Linked DNA regions of Schizosaccharomyces pombe. Changing the gene in region 1 together with any one later gene gives a genetic interaction. Each region holds a gene or a part of one and is shown in the gene's direction. Other genes may lie near its edges.

Region 1 (8,265 bases):
GTAACTGACACTTCCTTGGTGTTTTGCTGTACTTTTATTGATAAGGAGTGTTTGTTCGCTATTTCGTTTACGTGTGAAGAGCTGTGACATTTTGCACACGTTTGATTTTCTCAACCAAAAGCGTCAAATTTCATTCTACAAAATTCTATCGGTATTTGCTGCTTGATATTAACAGTCTTTTTATATGGGACTTGCATAAAATAAAAAAAGTAGAAGCCGTGTTAATTAATGAAATCGAAAATTTTGATTGTAGAGCGTAGTAAAGGATGAAAAAATTTTAAGAACTACTTTTCCTCGTTTTTGAAATCTTCCGGTAGAAAGAACTTGTCAGATTATAATAAAACAACTACAGAATCTATCTCATACATACATCGAAGCTGCAATTTTTTCTCAGGTTACTGGTTCACCTCTTAGGTCAATTTGCTCTACCAATTTAAACCCTCTGTAAGATAATATTTTTGTTGAGGAGAAAGAGAGAATCGTATATAGAGTGTCTTAGTAAGATTATATGACATGAAGTTTTACAGCATCTCAAGATTAGGCTTCTTTACGACTATATGACCAATACAAAATGGATGGAAATTTGCGAATAAAAAAATTCGCAAAGTTTACCTTATGGAATTAATATTTACCTGTTTACTCATTTGAAAGGAGCTTAGACCCTTAAGTTCCCCTTTAGCAATTCCTGAACTCATGGAAATGCTAGTTAAACTTTGAGCAAACCATTTATTCAATCCTTTCTCCCTTTTTACTACAGGAAAAGACACAGATTCAAATGTTTTTGAAATCTCCAACGCATCCGTATTTTATTTAACGTATATTAAGCGTTCCTTAAACATGCTTAAAATTAAGCGCTAGAGTTTCCGACATTTTTTTTTCTGCTAACAGTACTTTCGTACTTGTTCAATTGAAAGGTTTTTGCGCATTGCATTTATGAAGGTTCCTGCGTATTGGAAGCCGCGAGAACCAAAAAATGCTTTGACATGTGATCCACCTGTTCCTTATGACTTGCAGTCATCTTACCAATGGCAATCCATTTTGGAGCACGATACCTGCTATGCAGCTGAGGTATTTGACAAAATGATGATAGAATTAGTCTATCATCCAGAGCGGACAAGCAGTGTTATCATGCGAACAGACATAATTCTTGATTCTCAAGAGGATGATTCAATTCTAAACAAGCAGAAATCAGTTTTCGAAAATCTTGACGAAAGGTACCAAATTTCAAGGTGGATCGATCGTCGAATTATTCCTCGTAATACTAATTTGGATGCGACAATGGACCAAACGGTTGTTGTGCTACATGAGAAGCTTGAAAATGATCGTATATTAATGTACTTACCTCACCTGGACAAAAGTTTGGAACAGCCCTATAATCATCTTCCATACTATCATCCCGCAGTAGCTGGAATTGCTTTTCATTACAAAGGATCAAGTGTTGAGGTTTTATATTTAGTAGAAAAGGATTTTCAAAGGGAATTGTCTTCCCGTTTATTGCGAACAGCTCATATGCTTTTACTTGTTTTACACAAGCATTGCAAGGGGGCAGTGGAAGGGTACCAAAAACGCATGCTTCACGACACTGTTGTGGAAAGAAACAAGTTTCAAGATACCTATGTTATTCTGAAAGATAAATACGCCAAGCAACTTGTTGACAATTGGGTAGAAAAAACGGATCCTGGTAAACACGTTTTCGAAGATTTGGCTATTGCAGCATTTCTTATAGAATTGTGGAAACAAACTTATTCATCAAACAAAGAATTTAGTTTTGTTGATGTTGGTTGCGGAAATGGTTTACTTGTTTATCTGTTGTTAATGGAGGGCTATAATGGATATGGCTTCGACGCTAGAAAAAGAAAATCATGGGAGACATATCCCCTTTGGGTTCAAGTAAAGTTATACGAAAAAGTTCTTGTACCCTATTTTCTGCATGATTTTGAAACAAAGATTCCATTTCCTCAGCTGCCTGCCGGTTTCACTATGTCCGCTGCAAACATTCATGACGGTCGATTTTCTGAAAACTCATTCCTTATCGGAAACCATGCGGATGAATTGACTCCTTATCTTCCCATTTTAGCAAGATTAAATCAGAAATGCTATTTCATGTCGATTCCTTGTTGCGTTCATGATCTGACAGGTGCTAAAATTTCCTGGGCATTACCGAAACCTCGAAATCCCAAACATGGAGGAAGATACGCCATGTACATTGAATGGCTCATGCAGCTGTCAGAGGAGGTAGGTTGGAATATCGAGGTTGAACCACTACGCATTCCTAGCACCAGAAATTACGCTCTTATAGGTAGAAAATTACTATCGAATGATCTGCTGCACTCCAGTTTAAGCACCGATGCTTTGTACGACATCGTAGAAAAAAATCATGGCTCACAAGGGTTTTTTGTCCATGCTATGCAAGTTGCAGCGGCTAATTCTCGGTCTCATTAGTTCAAAAAATTTCCATTTTTTTAATATATAGAATTCTGCCATACGGACAAAGTTCGATAGTTGCCCTTGATTCGCTTACTCAACTTTAAATGCTTTAAAGTTCGTTAGTTGAGTGACTGCTTTTTAGATGTTTATAGTCCCAAATGATGGCTTGTTTTTCTTACTACTAACACCATCCTCTGAAATTGATATAGTTCGTGTGCTGGTAATCTCTTACTGGCCGTTCGATGACTATCGGTTATTGGATTCGGTGAAGATGGAACAGCCATTGTATCTGCCAAGCTTACGGATTTCCGGATGAGGAACTTGGTTCGTAAAAATGGCAAAATTGTTTGTTCTCTTATCGATCAAGATTTAATGGTTAATAAAATGCTTTCATGTTTACAAGAAAATAAAACTATATGTGATTGGTTCATAAACGCGTTTGTAATGTAGATGGTTGTCAATATGTTTTTGATTAGCGTAAAACCTATCAATTGTTGTAACGTAAACTGTTGATTTTGGGTCTACTAATAAGTGACATAGAAGAATTTAATTATTTTCAACGAACTTTGCTACTGTTTGTTGAATCCACGACTATAAATCACCTTCCATCATAAATGTTCCCTCTACTAAGCAGTAATTCATTTTTTAAACGGGAAGTCAAGCTGAAAAATATCACTAAAATAAGGAGTATGCATATTTCAAATATTTGACAATTGCCAAGTTCAATGAGTAAGTACTTTTTCTTAAATAGCCAACTCTTACATGTCAAAAATGGAAGCCTTGAAATGCAAGGCCAGAAAAATAATTACGTTTTAAAGCCCAATTCTACTAAATGATTGCTAATACAGTAGAATATACTTAAACGAAAAGATTCTGAAATTCCATCATTGACTCATACTCTATATACACAATTAATTACCAGCCTATTAACTTTAGTTTTTAGCTCATCAACTTCAACATTACTAATTATTCTTTATTTAAATTTAATGTAAACGGTCGATTACTCAAACCAATTTAATACTATTCTTTGTCTATTTGCCTAAATATTTTATACATGTCACGTTTTTGATCACCACCATTCTAAACCCATACTATACTTGACTCTACAGAATGCTGTCAAAACGGGGATTAAATCCCGTTCAAGCGGAGAGCAGAAAGAAGAAAAAAAGAGAACAAATTAAAGTGCGAGAAGAAAGAGCAAAACGCCATGAAGAACGACTGTCGCATAGGAATATGAGCCAAATGGAACGCCAATTATCAGAGCTGACACAATTAGAATCTTCGCAAGCTTTAAATGCACATGACAAGCAATTATTACAAAATTTGCAAAGAGATATGGCAATTATGAAGAAGAAAAACATTCATGGACATAGAGTTGGGCGTGTTGAGTCAGACAAGACTAAGGAGGCAGAACGTCAACATAAACCTAGAAAGCCTTTTATCCCTAAAAACCCAAAACGAAGTATATATTATGATCCAATATTTAATCCTTACGGAGTTCCGCCGCCAGGAATGCCTTATCGTGAGAAGGAAGAACTAAGTTCAGAAACAGATGAATCCGTTATTGATATACCTTTACCTTCTGAAGAATATCCTTTTGAGGATCCAAAGCCAAGGGAAAAGAAAAATAAGAGCTTTAAGCCAAAGCACCACAAAAAGCAAGACATAAATGCAAGTTCAGCACAACCAAAATCCACTACTACGACAGAAGCTGCTGCAAATACGAAGGACATTGAAGAGGAAACTATGATTGAGTACTCAGCTCAGCCGGTAGTCAGAGATTTACGACAAGAAGCTGCTCAATTTTTACCTGCTGCGTTTCAACGACAAAAACTAGCCAAGGGGCAGAAAATTGGACAGCCAGACAGGGATGTATCGAGCCAAGTTCAGGAAGACAAGGATGAAGAAATAGATAATTTCTACAAAGAAATTGGCGGATATCTATAAAAAAGTCGTTAAAATTATGGAGATTGGAAGTAAGGATTACCAAATGGGTGTAGACGGAATTTTTAGTTAATAAACATGCATATTAATTTATATATAATATCTGTTTACTAGGTTCAATTTTAAAGGAGCTTGATTGCATCTCTGTACTTGTTTTTTTGTTTTATTCAATTATGAGTGAGCTTTCATAAGTTAATTCAAAGGCTTATTATTATGATGCGGTCAATAATTTCAAATTTTTGATGTCCAAAAAAAACAAAGGAGATTTTGTTTCTGTGTTATTGCATGATATTTATTAATGTTTTCTTGGTTCAATAATTCCTTATTATAGTCACTTTTACACTGCTTGAGCGAAAGGGGATTTCAAAAAAACACCTTATATTCATCTTTCCGTGATTATTTCAAGTTGACTGTTTTTTGTGAATTTGTCTTTTGCTAAATTATGATTGTTACACTTAGTCCTACACTGTTCATTACGAATCAGATTACCAAAAAGAAAGAAGTACATGACTAATTACTTGGATTAATTTTATTTTATTTTCATATGTATTTAGACGCCATGACAGTATTTACATGCGTAAACCAACGAATTCGTTTATCAAATAAAAATATCATAAAGGAAACCTTTAAAAATCGAAATACACATGCTTAAGTTAAAATTTGCACAATGAGAGATGAGGGAGTACTTATCTATCTTTTGCTTGCTTTTCTTGGGTTCATAATCTTTGGTTTTCGCTATAAATGCTGTATGAGACTAGGAAGCTTTTGCAGTCAATCATTCTATTATTTATAAAAACAAATAAGTTATTTATTGATTAAAAACTCGTGATACTTTTTTTTGCTATAAAATGATTTATTTACATATAATTACAAGGCACTCGCACGACCTCGTTATGTGCGAGGAGCCATGAAATTGAATCCATTGATATTAAAATTAGCCAAAATGCCATTTCTTAAGAATGGGTAAAGTCCTGTTAGAGCTGCATTCAGTACCATGGAATGAAGAAGGTTTGAGTGATAATGCTCGACTTTATTCATTTTTGGAGTTCGTAAGCCCGAAAATCGAGGAATTGAAGTACAGAAAGCTTTTGTTAGAGAAACTACAGACTCACATTAGGGAGGTCGTTTTGGATGCTGAACTTCAAGTATACGGTAGCATGTATATTGGAACAACATTATCTATAAGTGATGTAGACGTATCTTTGAAGTCACCTCGAGTTGGAGAATTGGAGAAACGACGCGTCACCATGGTTTTAAGAAAGTACTTGGATGCTGATGCTGATTTCCATTCTAGTGCCAGAGTCCCTCGCATCAATTTAGTAGATGTTAGTGGAATTGGGGTGGATTTGACGTTTGGAAATGACAAAGCTTGCAGAACTGCTGAATTGCAAAAAGCTTATAACGAAGAACACCCAATTTTTGGTAGATTGCTGATGCTATTGAAGCACTGGTTGTTTGAAAGAGATTTGGAAAACGTTCATCATGGCGGGATTGCAAGTTGCGCGCTCTCTTATATGCTAATTGGTTGGCTTGAAATGCGATTTCACAAAAAGGGAATTGATTCGGAAGTGCAACCAATTCGAGCTTTACTACAGAAATTCTTCTATTTTTGGGGAGTCGAATGGACATACGAACTTTTTGTATTGAGACCTTTAACCGGTCAAATAGTTCCTAAGCTACAAAAGGGCTGGTTAAACGAAGTGCAACCAAATTTGCTATCTATTGAAGATCCAATTGACAGAAATAACGACATTGGAAAGCAATCATTTCAAATTAGTATGATTAAAGCTGCATTTGTTGCTTCAGCTAATGAATTATTATCCGATAAGACATGGTTTAGCACCTTTGCAATTACGGAAGATGAAATGTTTTTGTGTAAACAGTTTGAAAATGTTATAAATACTAAACGAAGTTTGGTGGAGGGATATGATAGTGATACGGAATCAGATGAATTACAAGCTGGCGGATAACTGCGGGTTAATGCATTTAAAAAATAATGCTCGCTGTTTAAATAAACATTTGTTTTTCAATTCCTAAGTTGTCTTGCCGCATGTGGTAATGTTTCACTACAGTTCGTATGTACTTTACTCTTGTTTAATTGAATGGATTCATATTCTTATTATTGATAGGATATAAGAATCCTACAATTATCTTAGTCATTTTCAAGTCTTTTAATTTTACTTAGGCAAGGTTCGGCTGTTTCAAATGATATCACATTTTGTACCTATTGAAGGTGCTAACAAAATCTGTTCTTTAAAAATTTCAAAATTAAATCTATTTTATTCTTTTAAAATCTATCCAAGGATCCATGTTAGATTTTCAAGTCAATTTAATAATTGCATTTCACTTAGATTAATAAATGTGTGTGCAATCTATAGCTTTTTCGAAAGAAGGACGCTATCTTCTGTTTTGGAGCTCTCATCAATAATGAATCCCCGATGAATAAACCATTCGGATACATCGAGTTTAGGGCTTAATTTAATGTAAATTTCTTTGGCTTTTCCCTCAGCTGCAGTCTCGCAAGCATATTCCAACAGCTTGGTACCAATAGAACGGTTTCGATAGGCTGGCAAAACTGCCAAAGATAAAATTTGGATTTTGTGCGATTTATTATGTGTTTCTTTTTTGCATCTAACAGCTCCTACGCAGACCTGGTTAAAGTACGCATATTGTGCTAAAGGCCCGACTGAGATTGTGTCTTTGTAAAAGGAGGTTGGAAATATAATGATTTCAGGATCAAAACACTTTTCGTTAATAACTTCAAGGATTTTCAGATTATTAGGGTTAATCGCATCAAGTTCAATCATCTTTTTTATGCAAATGCAAATATCTTTTTCTATATGTACTTGGTGTTGTCAACTTTCAGTCTTTAAGGCATTCTAATGCAATAGTTTGAGTTGGAAACATCCACGATAAAATCTTTAAACAGTACGCTGCATTTCATTAATCCCGTTGTCACATGAATGTGAAGGTATTGTAGATGCTGGTCGCATAGGAGAAGCGTTAACAAGGCTGAAGACATCGTCATTTCCATCTTCCTTTGTGTCTACGTTTCCTTCTTTCTTTGTGGTAGAGGGCTCTTCAAAATTTGATTCTTGTGGGATAATCTCTTCGGTGGATAGCTTTTCACTTGCAGAAACCGCAGGATTCTCAAAGTCAATATGAAGTTGTCTTTGATATTCATCTATTAATCTTCTAAGCCAAGGGACTGTGTAGCTAATGGCTGGCCATGCTGTACCTAGCATAGTAATGAAGTTCCAAAGGCTCCACAGGGCCATAAATGAAAATACCAGCCCTTGTATAATGATAAGAATGATTGCAATGATCACTTTCGGAATGATTGCTAAATCAAATGCTATCGGTATGAGAAGAGCAAAGGAAACCACTCGGGTGAGAGCAACCAAAAAGACGCAAAAGGAATTTTTGAAACCAACAAAAGGCCGAAACACTGCTAGCAATATAAAAGAGATGATTTCAATAACAAATAGAAGTATAGTTTGAATCTTCGCAAACTGTTGTACTAACGCTAAAACCAATGCAAAACTAAAATAATGTGCAAAGCAGGCGTAAACATAGAGCCATCGCCGTTCTTTTAAATCCAAATATAACCATCCCCACCATGTGTATATTTTTGGATCGCTTATCAATGTTTCTGGATTGTCCTCGTTACTCAAGCCTGACGTTGTTATCACTCTTATGACTTTGATAGTTAACCAAAGGAAAAGCCCAAAAAGCAGTGCCAGAAGCAAAGCCGCCAATATTACAGGGCCATATGCTTCCCTAAGTGTAAACTGGTAAATTATCATAGTTACCAATACAGGCCAACAAACCAACACCTATATCAACCAGATTAGTATAAGTATAAAGCAAAAAAGTCGTTAAGAGCTATGTATG
Region 2 (8,139 bases), on another chromosome or scaffold:
AAATATTAAGTCAAAGAGGTCATACGCATAGTTTGAAAAGGCTTGTCCTAGTGCTATAGAAAGTAGGCTAATGCATTGAAAAATTGCAGCATCCGAAGCACTTTTATTACGGATATGGATTTTTAGACTTTCCTTGATTGAATCGCATATGGGGTCAAGATATGGGATTATGCTATTAGTAATAGCCACGGCAACTTTTCCAATAGTGGCAAACGCCAACATCTTAACATTTTCTTTTTTTAATAGATTAAGTAGATGGAGCATACAAACGTGTAAATAATTGGAAACAAATTCATCTGGATTATAAGCTGCGAGTGTAGCAATCAATTCTGTAACGGTTTTGCGAATAAGCAAATCTTTGTGATCTCTGAATTGCAATATAATGTCCGATACTTCTCGATACCTCTCATGCATAAACATTCCAGCTTTTAAAAATAATTGGCGATATACTAGTAAACTACCATGAATGTAATCAGAAGAACCCTGTGCAACACCACGTTGAGCTTCATTGAGAATACTTGTATACCATTGGAGACGGATGGATGAATCCCTTTGCCTAACGATTTTCAAGAACTCACTCAACGCATCAGCCGAAGCTATTCGAATAGTAACTTTTGGATCCCGAAGTCCATGCCATAAAAGCTCAAAAATTGAATCGATATGAGCATAGATTAATGTAGACGTATTTTTGGCAAGCTCCTTAAGTATAAGCACTGCTGCATATCTACGATTTTCATTACGTTCTCCTTGAAGCCATTCCAAAGCGCGTTTAACTTCGAAGTTCACAAATTCAGAAGTTAGAGCACCTCCAGGAACTGCAAGTCTCCCTAAAGCTTTTGCAGCAAGAACGGTGGCTTTTTGGTCAGTTCCTGGAAGAATAATACGCAAATAATTTGCAAATCTAGTAATCCTTGTAGTATCTTCTCCTTCATAATCAATTAGACGATTTATGGCAGTTACGCCTGCCAGACGATCGAGTGGATCGGTACTGTGAATTAAAGTATAAACGTACTTGTTAACATCATTGTTAAACTGAACTAAAGCTTCGCCCGATAATTCTCGAGAATAAGCTATAACATATTCATAAAGATCATTTGCCGCTTTATTGCGAATTTCTTCATTCCTGCTTTTCAACCCAGGAAATTCTTTCATTATATACAGCTTAAATTAGCATCATTCTCTCAATTAAACAAAATTATTAAATGTGGTTGGTGGTGACCAAACAAGCACCTGCTGTACTTTTGCACCTAATTCTTAGTATACGCAGAGAGGAGATCAATAGAAACACGATTGAAAAAGTAATATTTTTATGACGATTAATTATTTGTAATAGATATACAAGTTAATATTTAGTGTTCTCAAAAAATCCAAGTTTTATTAAAAAAAGTCTAAACTTAGGAACTTTGGTAAAATACCAAAAACGAGTGTTGATTATCTAAATTTTATTTTCGAAGTATTACTTTAAGTTTTTTACTTTACATTTTTCTCAAAGCTCATAGAGGAGAACAAATAAGAATCGCTGTTAAAGATTCTGACGCTAACCACCAAGTTCACAACACTTGTGATATTGCTAATATCCCTTTCTCTATTAAATGGTTCTGTATAAAAACAAAAAAAAACAAATCATTAATTATGCAAATTCGAATTGGGGTCAAAATGAAGGTGTAGAATTTCAAGAAACTATGCTACAATGCATCCTCGAAGCTGTCATTGTAAGTAAAGATGCTAAGCAAGTACTTAGTCTGTTACATGAGTTAAAGCTTTTTGAGAATTTCCTTTGGCAGAGGGTTAATACTGAGATGTCATTGAACCATATAAACTTAACTTGTATGCTTCTATTATACAAATCCAAATATGAATATATTACATGGGACCTCATTGATGAAAATCGGTTTCAATTATTTTTTGAAAAAGTAATTGAAGTCTCTTTATCCTTAAATTTATCAGAAGTGGTTTACATGATTCAATTCATTACTCTCTGTTTTCAGTTTTCGAATATAGAGAAATTAAGGAAACTTGTTTACCAGTTAACGAACATTTCTATTTTAAATTCGCTTGATAATCTTGATAAAGTAAAATATTTACTACATGACTCAAGCTCTCTGACGAAAGCCTTTGATTCTTATAAGGAAAAACGACCGTCTATCGTTGAAAAGTTCCCTTTACATAATTTACTTTCCCGCTGGATTCATTCTCTGCTTATTAAATCGATTAGCTACGCTCAAACTGAAAAACAAGAAGCGAAAGTAACCCCCCTTTTAGCAATTATCAATATGTCTTTGGTTTTACTATCCGCATTTCCCACACGTCGCTTTGCTCATCCCGTAATAGAAGACAGTTGTTTTTATACCGCATTAAGAATGTCTTTGTATTACGACAGTAATGAGCTTTTTAAAAAAATGACAGACGACTTAAACTATGTTTTGAAATTCCCTTTTGATAATACCAGAGGTAACGAATATGAGAAAGAACAAAAAATCAGAAATGATGAGCTTGTGTACTACCACTTACAGTTAACTTTATTTTCGGATTTTCAGAAGGAATTAGGGGATCTGGTATTTTGCACACAAACCTCTTTACAACAGCGACAAAAATTGGAGGAAATTACGTCTTTTCTTTCCTTCAATTCACTTAAGTCCTTGTGTAGTAAATGTTATTTGAGGACTTCATTTCCCGAAAAATATGCTATAAAAGTGGATTTCGAATTTTTAAAAAATGTTTTTATTAACACGTATGATAGGACTAGATTGGTAAATGATTATGATGAAATCATAAATTTTACTTTGAAAGATGTACTTGGTGAGCGATCCGTGATGGACCAAGAAAACTCTTTGACCAATTACTTCCTACTACAAAACACTGCTATACAATATCTTTCTATATCTTTTTTTATGAGACAACAGAGTAAAGCTTACAAAAAGTTATTGTTAAGGTCACTATATGCTGAACTTTTAAATTTCAGTGAACAATACAGGAGACTATCAATTAAAAATGCGACCAAGAATTTGACCAAAGATAATTTTTTCTCTTTAAATAACTTTAAAGTTACCTCCGTTGCTCCACCTCAAATCGGTCAAGTTTTACCTCAATTTGTAAAGTGTCAAATGGGTTTAAGTCGACCTGGACCTTTTCATTCAGCGTTACGTGATTTAAAGAATTCCATCAAGAGCCCTTTTCTTTGCTTAATATACATTTCTAAAGATATGGAGTACAAGTTATTACATGGTAATGCGCTTGACCCCTTAGAAGGGGTGACTGATTTTACAATCGCGACGATATGCAATGATGATGTTGGAATGTTTCAAAGCGATATGCAGTCAGATTCTGACAACAAGTCCATCAATGTATACCTAAGCCCATTTTATTATCATTCCCTTGCGGGGTTGGGGGAATATCGCCCTAAGCAATTGAAGTTCAACTTTGCTTTGGTACTGTCTCCTGAGGCAAATAAGTATTGGTTGGACTTAAATATTCTTGTATCTTTACTTAATCGCGCTAAAGAATTTCCTAAATGGTTCGAAGATTTATTTTTGGGTTTTGGAACGCCTGATATATGTGCTTTTCCTAATGCTGGGCTTAATTCTATTTATGCTAGAAACTTGTTCAATACAGTCGAACAGTTGCAATCAGTACTTCCTAATTGTCATGTACCTTCTAATTTATCAACTGAATCTTTACTAATCAAATTTTATACTAATCAGAACAAAATATCAGCTGATGTTACCGCATCTGATAGGCATTTTTTACTACCATCAAATCGATTATATACTTACAATGACAAACAGCTAGAATCGATTTTACGTGGATCTCAACCAGGATTAACTATGGTTAATGGTCCAACTCGTTGTGGAAAACATGTTTTGGTATGCAAACTTCTAGAGGTTTTACAAGACACATCTCCCAATGATAGAACCGTTGTACTTTCTGACTCCAATTTCTCTATGAATACTTTGTTTACCTTACTGGAAAAAGCTAGATGTTTTCACCAAGGGCACCTATTATATCTATCTGATGAAGGAAAAGACGAAACGTTGGAACGTTATGGTACTTTATCGTCTTGGATATCTAAGCTTCCTGGTCTTCTACGAGAAATCGGTCGCCTAGCTGCTTCAATCCAGGCTCCAGGTTCTCATGACGCCAGCCCAGATACGGCTTTGTATTTTAGGGATGCTTATATTAAGCGACTTTGGGAAAAGTACTTGAACACGGTAGATGATAAGGATTCTGTGGATGCCTATAACAGGTTCCCTTTCCATTCGTATTTCGGTGACAAATCTAAGCGTCCGATAGAAACGTATAATAAAGATAATTTTTTCGATTATGCGACAAAGTTATACGGGGAGTTAGAATATATGTTCCAACAGCTGGAAGAGATCCGGCCTTTTGGATTACTGAGATATTATGAAGATCAAGAATTGTATGCATTATGCCAACAATCTAGGATTATCGGATGCACTTGGACGAGCTTAAGTACACGCTTAGGGACTTTGAAAGAAAAGGGATTTTGCTTTAACAATTTAATTGTTATGAACTCACAAAATATAAGTGAAAGCTCTATCACTAGCATACTACTTTCAAACTGTGAACCAACTGGTTTTGATCGCCTTGTTCTTCTGGGTAATCAATATCTTACCTCTGGGAATCAGGATATAAATAATACGTCAAATGGTTCACTTTTCAAACGTTTGCGGTATTTGAAATCCAGAATTATTGACCTTAATACGCAATACAATGTTAGAGAATCTATCAGTTCTCTATGTTCATCAATTTATCCTTTGGACATCAAAACTGTGGATTCTAGTCCCAATAAAAGACTTGATTATGGTAATTCGGGGTTTGCACATGAGGTCCAATTTATTAATGTGGGAGCTTTTAAAGGTTCTCAAGAAACAGAACCCGTTAGCGGTTATAAGCAAAATCTTGGAGAAGCCGAGTACGCAGTTGCCTTATTCCAGTACATGCGAATGTTAGGTTATCCCACCAACGAAATTGTAATCTGTACGCTTTATGAGAGTCAAGTCAGCCTTTTAAATGAAATTATATCGGTACGCTGTTCTCATAACTCGTTTTTTGGTCAGCCTGCTTTTGTAGGTACCGTGGAAAAATTACCAAGCGATAAACGGGTAAACTTTGTTATATTTACGACAGTTGAATCTAAAGAGGCCTCTGATCATTGGAATCCAAAAACATTTTATAAAGCCTTTTCAGCATGCTCATATGGTCTGTACGTATTGTGCAACCGTGACCTTTTTCGCTCTACACGTGGTCTTGAAAAACTGTGGAATGAAATTGAAAAGACTCCTGACAAGCTGCTTTTAACCACGGGAGAAATATATCCAAGTTCTCACAAAATCGGATCTTCCGTTGAAACATTTGAAATTGAAAATTTACTTCATCTCTCAAACTATGTTGTTGAAATGACTAAAAAAAGGTTAAATACGAATTAAAATAAAAACCTACTTCATATAGACTATTTGCTTGTTGTATTGAATTAATGATTATTTGTAAGATTAAAGTCATTTTATTTCATTGCTTTTTTGCATAATTAACTTATTTAAAAAACTAAATAGTGAGCTTTACAAACAATAAAAAGTTGATCCCCTCAGAAAAAGTCTTAGGTGTCATACCGATAATAGCTCACTACTTTATTCAACTATACAACAAGTTGGGTAATACATTATTTGCACGAAGTTAACGTCCAATGATTGATTGGTCGAATGAGTAATAAATATAACAATTTATTAAAAGAAGTTGCAGCTAAATATGCTAGTATCATTCTAAATGATGCGAAAATTAAGTCTTTAACTTCAATAAATAGTGCCGAATATCTATATGATTCATTTGTTGAAATTAGTAAATTACCACTGGAAAAGAAGCTTCCGTTAAAATGGAAACTGATTACAGTAAAGGAAAATATTTGCACGAAGACAAATTTAACCACGGCAGCCTCTAATATGTTGAAGGGTAGACAATAAGAATATATTTCAGTTACTAATTGCGGTTTAACTAGACTACAATTCTCCGTTTGATGCGTCAATTGTCGAAAGCTTGAAGAAAGCCGGCGGTATTATTCTTGGTAAAACAAATATGGATGAGTTTGCAATGGGAGTCAAGAGCGAAAACAATCTTTTTGGTCGCACTGTTAATCCTGTTGTTAAGGATAGTAATTACGATGTTGGGGGCAGCTCGGGAGGAGCTGCTGCTGCAATCGCGGCGGATATATGTTATGCATCAGTTGGTTCAGACACAGGAGGATCAATCCGTCTACCTGCTGCTTACGTAGGTTGTGTAGGTTTTAAACCATCTTTCGGCAGGATTTCGAGATATGGAATGCTTGCCTTTGCCAATAGTTTTGACACAGTGGGTATCGCTGCAAATAATGTTAAGGGCGTTACCAAAGTATTTAATGTTTTAGACCATCCCGACATAAATGACTCAACCTGTTTAACTAAAGAAGCTCGTTATTTTGTTAAAGAGCAGCACAAAAAATTATCGCGGAAGCCAATTAAAATAGGAATTCCAATTGACTGGAATGTTTCTGAGACTCATCCAAACGTTTTAGATAAGTGGAATGAATTCATATCTCTTCTGAAATCAAATGGTTATCTTGTCCAAGAAATACAGCTTCCAATTTCATTATACGCTAACAGTGTATATTCCACAATGGCTTATGCAGAAGCGACTTCAAATTTGGCTAAATATAATACTATCGCATTTGGCAATTGTTTAGATGAAAAGTTCGAAGAGGAAATAATTTCATCTACTGCACGCTCTTTTTTTTTAGGAGACGAAGTGAAAAAGAGGCTACTGCTAGGCGCTTATTCACTAGCAAGAATGTATGATATAACTGATTTACTAAGTAGTTACTAATATTTACAAATAGGAATTCCTCTGATTTGTTTTCTAAGGCTCGATACGTTCGCCGAGCCATACAGCTGGAATTCAACAAAAACTTTTTTCTACCTTCCTTTTCTGTCGATGATCCCAGGGGTGACATCGATTTCATAGTTACCCCTTCTTTTTTTAATTCCAGTCAACCCATTGAAACCCCGTCCTCTTATAGTCATCTTTCAGATACTATGTTAGTTCCAGCGAATATGGCTGGAATACCATCCGTTAGCATACCTTTCGGTACTTTGAACAATGGGCTTCCAATGGGAATTCAAATTATGGCCCAATATCTTAATGACGAAGATTTGTTGTCTTTTGCAGGCCAGTTTGCATAGATTTCGGCTGCTTATCTAAACTCTCGAAACATGGCTATGATAATCTTTATGAGCATAATAATTCTTTACTGTTTGGAATCAATTTCATACATTGAAACTTGTTTGCAAAGAGTTTTGGAGAACTTGTCATCAATAATTCGACAGTTTCCCTACAACTGCGGTAAATCCAATAAATAGATGTGGATTCTGAATCATTTACACTTCTCAGCAACATAAATTATTTTTACATTTCAAGTCGCTAGTTTATTCAACCAAAAAAAATGCATATCTGAAGGATGGAATTTAACGGGTAAGCTTTTAAATACAAAACCAGGAGCAATCGGTTTGTCAGATAATGAACATAGTGCACTGTCAAGATATATATGATAAACAGCAACAATTGTATAATTTACCAGATAAATTAAATTTGATTTAATCGAAATAAATGTCTCAGTGCAACTGTAAATGAATTTTTTGACATTATAATAAGATAACGCACTTTGTGAAATTGCGTATTTATGCCTTAAATCCTAAACGAATGCTAACCAGATCTACACATTTAGCATTAGTACGCTTTAAACCAGTTGTTTTTAAAGGTTAGGATAATTTAAAACAGCTACCTTTCAAGACTCCAATTTTTGTTTTCAAAGCATGACTACCAAGCAATGGGGTATTACACCGCCAATTAGTACTGCACCTGCTACTGAACAGGAAAATGCTTTGAATACGGCTTTAATTAATGAGTTGAAGAACCAAAACTTGTTTGAATCTCCTGCCGAATCTGAAAAAAGAGTAAAGGTTCTTGATGAGTTGCAACAAATAACGACAGAATTTGTAAAGAAAGTATCACTTGCCAAACATATGAACGAAAAGATGGCTAATGAGGCAGGGGGGAAAATTTTTACGTACGGAAGTTATAGACTGGGCGTTTATG

The links. A genetic interaction does not mean that the proteins touch.
Region 2: mutations in saf1 (region 1) and cwf11 impair growth when combined (synthetic growth defect), as found in Schizosaccharomyces pombe (2 studies listed by BioGRID).

The regions. Positions count from the first base shown.
Region 1 is NC_003421.2:1,650,339-1,658,603, forward strand, and holds saf1 (splicing-associated factor Saf1), read left to right. Parts: upstream 1-3,509; 5' UTR 3,510-3,537; coding exon 3,538-4,374; 3' UTR 4,375-5,244; downstream 5,245-8,265. Other genes in the region: trm44 (tRNA (uracil-O(2)-)-methyltransferase), read left to right, coding at 934-2,442; poly(A) polymerase Cid12, read left to right, coding at 5,331-6,341; NatA N-acetyltransferase subunit Naa50, read right to left, coding at 6,744-7,178; trp663 (TRP-like ion channel protein), read right to left, coding at 7,293-8,207.
Region 2 is NC_003423.3:921,133-929,271, forward strand, and holds cwf11 (protein Cwf11), read left to right. Parts: upstream 1-1,539; 5' UTR 1,540-1,592; coding exon 1,593-5,447; 3' UTR 5,448-5,509; downstream 5,510-8,139. Other genes in the region: TORC1 serine/threonine protein kinase Tor2, read right to left, coding at 1-1,152; gta1 (glutamyl-tRNA amidotransferase alpha subunit), read left to right, coding at 5,718-5,964, 6,011-6,836, 6,884-7,226; mRNA cleavage and polyadenylation specificity factor poly(A) polymerase Pla1, read left to right, coding at 7,857-8,139. UniProt on the Schizosaccharomyces pombe protein: Involved in mRNA splicing where it associates with cdc5 and the other cwf proteins as part of the spliceosome.